Oryzias latipes: one gene and its partner. The protein of the gene in region 2 purifies or fractionates together with the protein of the main gene of each other region. This does not show direct contact. Links are inferred from orthologs where the notes say so. Each region holds a gene or a part of one and is shown on either strand. Other genes may lie near its edges.

Region 1 (4,723 bases), on a different chromosome or scaffold from region 2:
GAAAAATCACATTTGAGGTCTTTAAACTAAAATTCTAATCAGTCACTTTGTGGTGAACTCCACAACAAAGCTAAATGCTTTATTATTAAATATAATACATTTGAATAATTATTAAGAGGATCCGTAAACCAAAAGGTAAATCATTCAGACTCCATACCCGGTTGTTGATAAGAGTTGGTGTTTGTTTGTTTTTTGTGGCTTCATTTTTGCGTGTTTGTGTTTGTTTTCTGCCTGCAGTGGACTCCATCACTGACGTTTACACCGTCAACCAGCTGAAGTTGAAGGCCAAGGAGCAACCGGAGACTTTCTTCGGCCTGACTTACAGCTTCATCTCCAAGCTGGACCTGGACTCCTCTGCCTCTAAAGTCATCAAGACCCGCTGGTACGATCGCACCAAAGTCACGGCCTCCTTCTTTCCTTCCATCTGTCCGTGCTTCGATTTGGGCTTTTTTCAGCTCTAAATGTAGGTTCCTGCTGACGGCGGACATGCAGAGCTGCGGTAACCAGCTGTGTCCGGGCGGGGAGCAGCCGTTCTCAGGCACCACAGGCTTCGACCTGCTGGTGGACCTGACCGACCACACCGGCACGCTGCAGGCCTGCAGCCTCCGGGGCGCCACGGCGGAGCAGACGCTCGGCTGCTCGGTCGGTAACTCCTCAGAGGCTGAGGGGGGGGGTCAGCTCCAAACTGCTGAGATCCACAGACTTCTCTTAAATATGCTGCTGCCTGCTTCCAGACGGACGAGTTCATCCGTCTGACCGATGATCAGCGCACCGCTCTCAAGTGGAAGTTTCTTCTGGAAAGATGCAAAATATACCTGAAGGTATTCCAGCCTTCAAAAGGCATGTTTTTTTTTTTTTTGTCTTTGTGATGTGTTTTTATTGTTCATGAGATCGTCTGCCGCAGATCCTTCCCTCTGCGAGAACGAAAAGCGGCATCAGGGGGGTGATCCTGGCCTGCTCTCCGGCCGACCCAGGAGAGGTGAAGCAGCATATGTCGGCTGTTCTGCAGCAGCTTTGAACCAGCAATGCGAAGTCTGTTCTATTTACATTTGTTCTGCGCTAATTACAATGTAAACAGATGCTTCAACTGTTATTTATTTATTTATTCTTATTTATTTAACTTATTGATATAAATTGATTTATTTAAAAAAAGGCGTTAAATTGTTCCTGTTTAATAAAGTTGTGTTTTGAAAAAAAATTCTGATTTATTATCACAAAATACAATTAAAAAAGAAAAAAAAAACAAAAGCAACTGTTATAAAAAAAAGTATATTTAAAATAAAAAGAATGATGTAGATTTTATGTAGCGACAATAAATGCTTTATTTAAAGCAATTTTAACCATAAAAAAAGAAAAATATGTATTAAAATTTTGAATTCATAAAAATGATTAAAAAGAAATAAAACAATATGTTTAAATATTTTTTGACATATTACTCTGAATCATAAGGAGACATATTTGCACATTTATTGTAATGATTGCCAAATAAAAGTTGATTAATTACCTGAAAGAGTGTGGGAAAAGGCGATTTTATGATTCTACCTCTATTATGATTTATTTTTTATTATTATTATTTTACATCGTTGCATTCCTGCATTTAAACAATTTTTTTTTCAAAGCGGAACGTTTGACACACTTCTGTGTTTATCGGGGACGCGTTAGTCAGACGTACCGCAGTCGCGAATGATGGCTTCAGGAAATCTGTAAAGCGAATTCTTATCAGATTTTTAGATGTTTTCTCACATTCAGATATTTTTAAAACGGCTTTTCTTTAAAAGAGTTAACTTCAAAAAGCTTGAGCTGACGTCGTTGGCCGATCGTTTGGACCGAGTTCGTCAGATGTAACTAAGTGGACTGACGGGTTCTGGTGTTGTTTGTAACCGTGACACACTAGCGGAGAAGCATGAATGTCAACCAGGGCACGGTGGGCAGCGACCCGGTTATCCTGGCCACGGCTGGATACGATCACACAGTCCGGTTCTGGCAGGCCCACAGCGGGATCTGTACCCGGACGGTGCAGCATCAGGACTCGGTATCCTTTCCCTGGTTAGAACGGTTCGGTGAGAGCTCTCTGTTTACATGCGCTACCGCTGGCTTACAGCCGCTCACACCCCAACCTGACGAAATGGCCCCCAATTTCGGAGCTTTACTGAATTGAAAAACAAAATTATGACTTTAGTCTCGTAAAATTTTACATTTTTATTGTTGTTTATACTTTTACAAATTTATTAGTGTAATTTTTTTTTACTTTTTAATAATAATTTTACTACGGAACGGTATTATGTTAAATAAAAATAAAATACAGGTGACCTTTGCTCTAACTTGTTTGACATAATCCGTTTTTGTTTTGTTTTTGTTTGATTCACCACACACACTAAAAATAAAACCATCAACTGTTAATTAAATGCAATAGGCTTAATATTTTACAGCATTATTCTCATACATAATATGTATTTTGTTGTAGAAAAATGCTATAAAAGGCATATATATGCTAAATACCTCAAAAACGCGACTTTCGGAGTGGGCCTTTAACTCGTCATTTCAGCAAGTGAATTCCCTTGAAGTGACCCCGGACAGAAGCATGATCGCCGCCGCAGGTCAGTCCAAACTCTCCCATTTGAAGGCTGCGCGGCGTTTCACTGCGCGTTCCTCCTCTTCCTCCTGCAGGGTATCAGCACATCCGCATGTACGACCTGAACTCCAACAACCCAAACCCCGTCATCAACTACGACGGAGTCAGCAAGAACATCACCTCCGTGGGCTTCCATGAGGACGGACGCTGGATGTACACCGGAGGAGAGGACTGCATGGCTCGCATATGGGACCTAAGGTACGGCGGTTCACCTCCACCGCACACCCCGGCAGAAATCCACTCTGCTGTTATCAACCCTCCTCCTTTCAGGTCAAGAAACCTGCAGTGTCAGAGGATCTTCCAAGTAAACGCTCCCATCAACTGTGTGTGTCTTCATCCCAATCAGGTATCCTCAAAGCTGCACAGGTGTTTGATGTGGATTTATCTGTAGATTTGTCAGCGTTTTGTGATTTTTCTTTTAGGCGGAGCTGATTGTTGGGGATCAGAGTGGCGTGATTCACATCTGGGACCTGAAAACGGACCACAACGAACAGCTGATTCCAGAGCCAGAAGTCTCGGTGAACTCTGTCCACATCGACCCCGATGCCAGCTACATGGCAGCCGTCAACAGCTCGGTGCGTCCCCAAACTGAACATGGGACGCAAAAACTGGGGTTGGAGAGAAACTAGAGTGAGGTTCCTGTTCCCCCCCCCAACAGGGAAACTGTTACGTGTGGAACCTGGCTGGAGGGATGGGAGACGAAGTGACGCAGCTCATTCCAAAGACGAAGATCCCGGCGCACAAACGATACTCGCTGCGCTGCAAGTTCAGCCCCGACTCCACGTGAGGCTTTTTGTTGTTTCTGCCTGACGTGAGGCCAAACAGAAAAAAAACCTCATTGATGTTTCTCCTTGAATGTCTCCAGACTACTGGCCACCTGCTCAGCGGATCAGACCTGCAAGATCTGGAGGACGTCCAACTTCTCCCTGATGACGGAGCTGAGCATCAAAAGCAACAACCCCGGGGAGACGTCCCGAGGCTGGATGTGGGACTGCGCCTTCTCCGGAGACTCGCAGTACATCGTTACAGGTGCGTACCTTCACCTTTGGGTCTGTCCCCTTGTCCCGCTGAGTTTTTAAAGTTAAAAATGGCATGTTTTAGCAAACTTTAATATAAAATTAAAGCCGTAAACGGCGTTGCATGACCTGCAGAGGACACTGCCCCCTTTTGAACCGCCTTCACCCTCCCCTTCTGCCAGTCTGGTCACAAATTCATGAAAGAGAACACTTTTATTCAAAAGTGCGGCTTTTCTGATGGTTTTATCTCCATGGCAACCATTTCAGTTTTTGGTCACCGCGGGGTGACGAACAGGTTTCGGTCATTTTTAGAAGAATCTGCAAAAGTAGATTTTTGGATTTCCTTAGCAACGTAGGATTTTTGTTAACCACACCCACATTTCTTATATGTTCATATTGTTTGTCATATCGTTTGGTTCAGCTTGAGCAGAGGTGCGCTCCATTTTCTCAATATTCCGGTAAAAAATGCGCCCACAACAGGAAATCGCCACTTTTGTGAACTCGCCGTTCAAAATCCACAAACTTTATTTCCAAAATTCCAATTAGTTTCCCAAGGACACCGCTCCAGGAGTCAGGAGGCGATTCTTAGGAGGAGTTTAAATTTGTAGCTGGGACTAAACGGGATAAATATGTATTTTTTTACAAAATTCAAGATGGCAGCTTCTTCCCGAGGTCAAAGGTCAATGAAACTTCAGCTCTTGTTGAAGACTTTTGAATTGTAAATTGTAGAATAAATTGTAGACGAATGTGAAAATCACCAAACGTCACTCTCTGCCACACAGTGACCACCAAGCCGTGGCACCTGTGGCCATCCCATAATAATTAAAAAAACTTCCTTCCAATCTGGTCGTCGTAGTCCAGGATTATTGCGGGGCGGAGTAATAATCCCGGTTTTTATCATTATCCAGCTGTTTCTTTAATGTTAGGAATCAGTTGAAGCAGAAAAATGGAGGTAAAGTCGCGTTTTTGTTCCGCAGCGTCTTCAGACAATCTCGCTCGTCTGTGGTGCGTCGAGACCGGCGAAATCAAGAGGGAGTACAGCGGCCACCAGAAGGCCGTGGTGTGTCTGGCCTTC
Region 2 (4,878 bases):
ATGGAGGTGAAACTCAACTGCTTGTTAAAACATTGTGCTATTAAAGGTTGGTCTGAGCCTTTCTAAAGTCTCTTCAGAGGTGCTCTGAAATCCCTGATCTTGTTCCAATTTAGATGGACCTAAAACTGTCTCCATCTCTTTAACAATTTTGCCACCGGAGTCAGATAAGTTTAGGAGAATCTTCACTTTTGCAACAAATATTAAACATAATCCAAACATACTGAGGAATAGGAAAACAAATTGAGAAACAAGTTAGGGTTTACAGTAAAAAAATATATATATTATTTTAGTTTTATAGCCAGCAGGTTATTCTAGTTGAATAGAAGCTTATGATGCATTTCTATCCCCAGAGCTTTTTTTTTTTTTTAATCTAAACTGTGGTATAAACCTCAGCAGGTCAGCAGCTACATTTCAGAGGAAGAGTAGTTGATCAGTCATTCAATATATCTACAGTCATCTTCCTTAAAAAGCTGCATGTGGAGCAAAAAAATGCTGCAGCATTCTTACCTTTATGAAGTTGTTCAGGTGGCCCAGTTTTCGCATGTTGCTAACTCCGTGTGGTTTAGCCACATTTTGAAGAATTTCCCGGAAGTTTTCTGATGGTTCTAGAGGGAAACAAAAAGACCATTTCAGTGGACAAAATAGCTCTGTGGTTACAGGAGAAAAGGAAAGGGCTATCAATTAGTTTACTAGTTTTACGTTTATGCAGTCAAAACTAGACCTTTATAGCAAAAAGCAAAGTCGAGCAAGTTAGACTTTGCTTTCCAACAATTCATCTAATGTTAATTATTTGATAAAATATTAAAACACTTGCGAGGTTATTTCATATGTAGACATCTAATATCTGTAGAAACTAATGTCAGATATACCAATCAATGAAGAAATCCATTTCACAAACACGTAAATAGACCATCCTAATCCCAGATTATGTTTTAAATTGTCTTATATTATCTCTCCATAAAAAAAACTGATATTTTAACAAGATTTAGAACTTCAAATACAAAGGGGGAAAAATCCGTACAGCTACAAAACAAAACAATAGAATACCACGAAAATGGTTTAACTGAGGTTGACATTTAAGAAGATTTCCTATATGATGCTAAGATAAAAGTATCAAAAGCAAAAAGGCAAACAAGCACTGGTGTATAAATATACCTTAAACTTTAGCTTCTTATCCGTGAAGCAAAAATCGATCAATCGTTTAAGAAACAGTGGTGTTATTGCATTATAAACGTTCCTGGGGGGTAATCCAGGAAGCATGTTTAAACTACCCTGACTTTAACCCTGAACTCTGGCTGAAATCTCAAATTTACATATTTTTCTAACTAAATGTCATATTACTCCAATTCAATTAAATGTCTTTCCATCTTAATTTATTGTATTTCTTGAACTCTCATATGTCTACATTTGAGCCTGTAGATATTCTCATTTTTATAACATTAAAATGAATGAAACAATATAGATTCACAACACAAAACTTAAAGTCATTTATCCTTTCTCTGACTTTGACATTACAACACTGAGCAGTAGGGGTGCTAAATAACCTCATCATTCTCTCCCTCCCTCTCACTCATGGTGCAGAAAGAATTAAACACAACAGGACAAATAACTCGGAAATACACAGTAAAACAGATAAACAACTAAACACATTTGGTCAAAAACCCACACTTAAACCCAAATCCGTCCAGACAGGCAAAGGGAATGGTATCCCACAATTCCTTGCAGCGCCGATCTAACAGCAGCACCAAAGTTACACCTACTTAATTGAATTAATTTGAATTAAAGTAAAATAACTGTCTGATAACTTAGTGTTCTTTTTAAGCTCATGTAACAAAAAGAATGTATCTTAACTGAAGCAAATAATTAAGTTAGATTAATGTAAAAAAGTTCATCTTTCCAACATCCATACGTGGTCTTATCACCCTCTCATGGTGGAAAAAGTATTATCTGAGCTTCTTCATCCACTAAATCATCTTCAAATGGACACTGCATGCTCCTTCACCTCTCTGAAACCAACTAACCTTCAACTAAACCTGCTCCAGACCAGGTTATGTTCAGAGCATGAGTTGCTATAGCAACTTCACATACCCTGAAACATACCACTGTTTTTGGAACCAAAAGCTGAGGCTATCCGCTTCCTTAGCCTCAAACTTATCGTGGTAAATAGCATAACCTACTTTCTGGAATACCCCCCATCAATGGTTGAGTTTGTTCCAGTAAGATACGTTTTATATAAAAACCTAAGCTGACAAAAAACACAAACTATGTTCGTAATCGTTTTCCTAATTTAGGACCGAAATGTTTCCATCAGAACTCGTTGATCGTGCTTTTATCGTGAGTCAAGTGTGCCTAGCAGCCGCAAAAGGTTCCAAACAAAGAAAACAGCCGCTGGTTGGTGTAAACAAACAAGCAGACAGTGCTGTTGCTAGATGAGCAAATTTAACTCGGCTGAGCTGTGAATAAAAAAAAAAAAGCCCGTATGTGCATTGCTCAGCAAACCGGCTTAAGCTCAGGGTTTCTGACAGCCAGCGGAGCCTCGTGTATTAATGCAACTCTAATGGCTGTCTCGCTAAATAGCAGGCTCTGCAGCCCACTCACGCCTACCAAAACAACAGCGCATCGTCATGACTGGTTAGCTGTGGCAGCCAGCTAACGCTAAATCAGCTAGCTAGTTAGCTCCCTCTCGCCTGTTTATAGCCACAAAGGAAGATTTTTGAACAAAACAACAACAAATAAAACGTTTAATTAAAAATGCATCCACGTGGCAATCTCGTGGTTCATTTAGAGGTTCGTATATTTTGTGCATAAAGTCAACCATAATCCATTTTGAGCAATAATAGCTTTTAGAATGATGAGCCTCTGCTTACCTCTACTCAGATCCAGCGGTACGTTCTCCTCCCCGCTGTCATTCCGCCCTGACAAAAACAAACGCAACGGAAACGCTGAAGGACAAATTCAATGCTATGTTTTGTGGGAGACGTGCTCTTATTGCAATACGCTGCCATTCCAACAAATTATGAGCTGAGTTTTTCACGCTTACCTCGCATCCGAAGACTCCGGATAGGACGGCCGCGGAAGCTGGCCGCCATGTTTCCAGGAACATACACAACACCGGAAACTTCGCGGAATGTCGCGAGAACACGGACATCAAACGCAAATCGCTGCGGTGCAAATCACAGATCTGGGATCAGGCGAATCCCAGTTAATCCCTTAACCTCCAACGGCAATGAAAAAATAATCTGACCTGGCGACTGAACGACAGAAATAAACAGTTTAGTTAGCAGCAGTATTCGAGTTTTAATTGCAAATGTAATATTTATTTATTAATATTTTTCAGCATGACCAATTTGCTAAATTTGTTTTTATAAAAACAAATCTTAGTTTTTTTGTTTGAGTTTGTGTCATGGTTCATGTTTTCATGTATGATTGGGATTTAGTGACAGGAATAATTTGTGCAAAATGTTTTGTAATATGGTTTAAACGTATGTTTTTATCCTAACTTTAGGGAAATATTTAAGTTGAAAACAAAAAATAATATGTTCTAACTTGATTTAAGGCAAGTTGTGTTATGTTAAAGTTATTGTTACAAATAGGAAATATTCAAAGAATAAATAACAATAATAAGTACAACACAAGTAGTGCACATAATGGACCTGCTTAGAGGATTTGGACATCACTGCAGCTCCTTTTTCTGCACACATATCAGCAAAAACATAATTCTTTCATCTTCTCAGAGACTATTTTTGTTCAAACCCAAAGGGATTTTTGTTGCATTAGCCTGCTTAAATGATTTTGCAATTACAGAAAGACCTTGACCTACTTTTTCATTCCAACCTCATGAGTCTTGATCATGAGTCTTGATGTCTGTCGCTGTATAGTTTATGACAGCTGGTCCCACAGAGCTTGTTACTTGAGTTCATAGAAGTGTACTCTAAACGATGAACAATACATGAATTATTTTTAGCTTCTCTCTTGAGTAAAAAACGTGTTTGTTTTTACTAACGTTGTGATACCAAAGACTTCTTTCATGCAAAAAATTCAAGACGTGTAAATTACAGAATAACTGGTTCATTAAAAAACAGAGGTACCAAAAGTAAAAGACGAATGTTTCAACATTTTCAGTTGTTATATTATCATTTTTTTTTAAAAGCTGCAAGAAAACTCAGGTTGCTATGACCACATTAACCACTAGATGGCGCTAATGCTTTACGAACACAAACCAAGACAGAAAAAAGATGGCCACTTAACCGGATAATGATAAATCATGTTATAAAATGGTTACGGTAGAACAGGGGTGGGTTTATATAAGTTCGCTTCCTTCCACTCCCTTTCAAGCAATATTTATTTATATGATTAATTATCCAAAGTTTGATTAGTTGTGGTACGAATCTATAACTGATGATTGTATTGTTTTTATGTATTATTCCTATTTGATTGCTTGAAATGAACCATTTCAATTCAATTCAACTTTGGAAATGTGTTGAAAAATCACTAATCCTTCCTCTTGAATGTTTATCACAAAACCTATTTATATTATGTTCACAGATATGTCTTCATTTCACTTCCAACTTTTATAAATGTCACCCGCGTAAAAGCGCAAAATAATCCATCAAATGCTTTAATAGGTGGTTTCTTTCACCTCTCACTTAAACCTCATTTTGAAGAACTTTTTTGCAGTTTCACTAGTCTGTTTTTCCCTTACTGCAAGTTTTCAAGTTATTTCAAGTCACTTCCTGTTTTTGTCTCTCCTTGTACAAAATGCATTGGGGTAAAACATCTGTAATTATGGATTCAATGATGTTTCCTAAAACATTGTTAGACAAACACTAACCTATTATATCTACATTATCTATTGCTCTAGTGTTTCTTTGGAGTCTT

Evidence for each region.
Region 1: the proteins of rictor (region 2) and mlst8 purify together in Homo sapiens (affinity purification with western blotting; 14 studies listed by BioGRID and IntAct, with this or other methods). This does not show direct contact. The link is inferred for Oryzias latipes from reciprocal best matches to the Homo sapiens genes RICTOR and MLST8.

What each region holds. Positions count from the first base shown.
Region 1 is NC_019877.2:3,130,803-3,135,525, reverse strand, and holds the start of mlst8 (target of rapamycin complex subunit LST8), read left to right. Parts: upstream 1-1,654; 5' UTR 1,655-1,903; coding exon 1,904-2,032; intron 2,033-2,545; coding exon 2,546-2,597; intron 2,598-2,667; coding exon 2,668-2,830; intron 2,831-2,902; coding exon 2,903-2,978; intron 2,979-3,054; coding exon 3,055-3,207; intron 3,208-3,290; coding exon 3,291-3,415; intron 3,416-3,497; coding exon 3,498-3,661; intron 3,662-4,625; coding exon 4,626-4,723. Other genes in the region: meiob (meiosis-specific with OB domain-containing protein), read left to right, coding at 238-382, 456-642, 735-821, 905-1,018.
Region 2 is NC_019867.2:18,765,394-18,770,271, forward strand, and holds the start of rictor (rapamycin-insensitive companion of mTOR), read right to left. Parts: upstream 3,108-4,878; 5' UTR 3,090-3,107; coding exon 3,041-3,089; intron 2,916-3,040; coding exon 2,868-2,915; intron 606-2,867; coding exon 508-605; intron 1-507. UniProt on the Homo sapiens protein: Component of the mechanistic target of rapamycin complex 2 (mTORC2), which transduces signals from growth factors to pathways involved in proliferation, cytoskeletal organization, lipogenesis and anabolic output.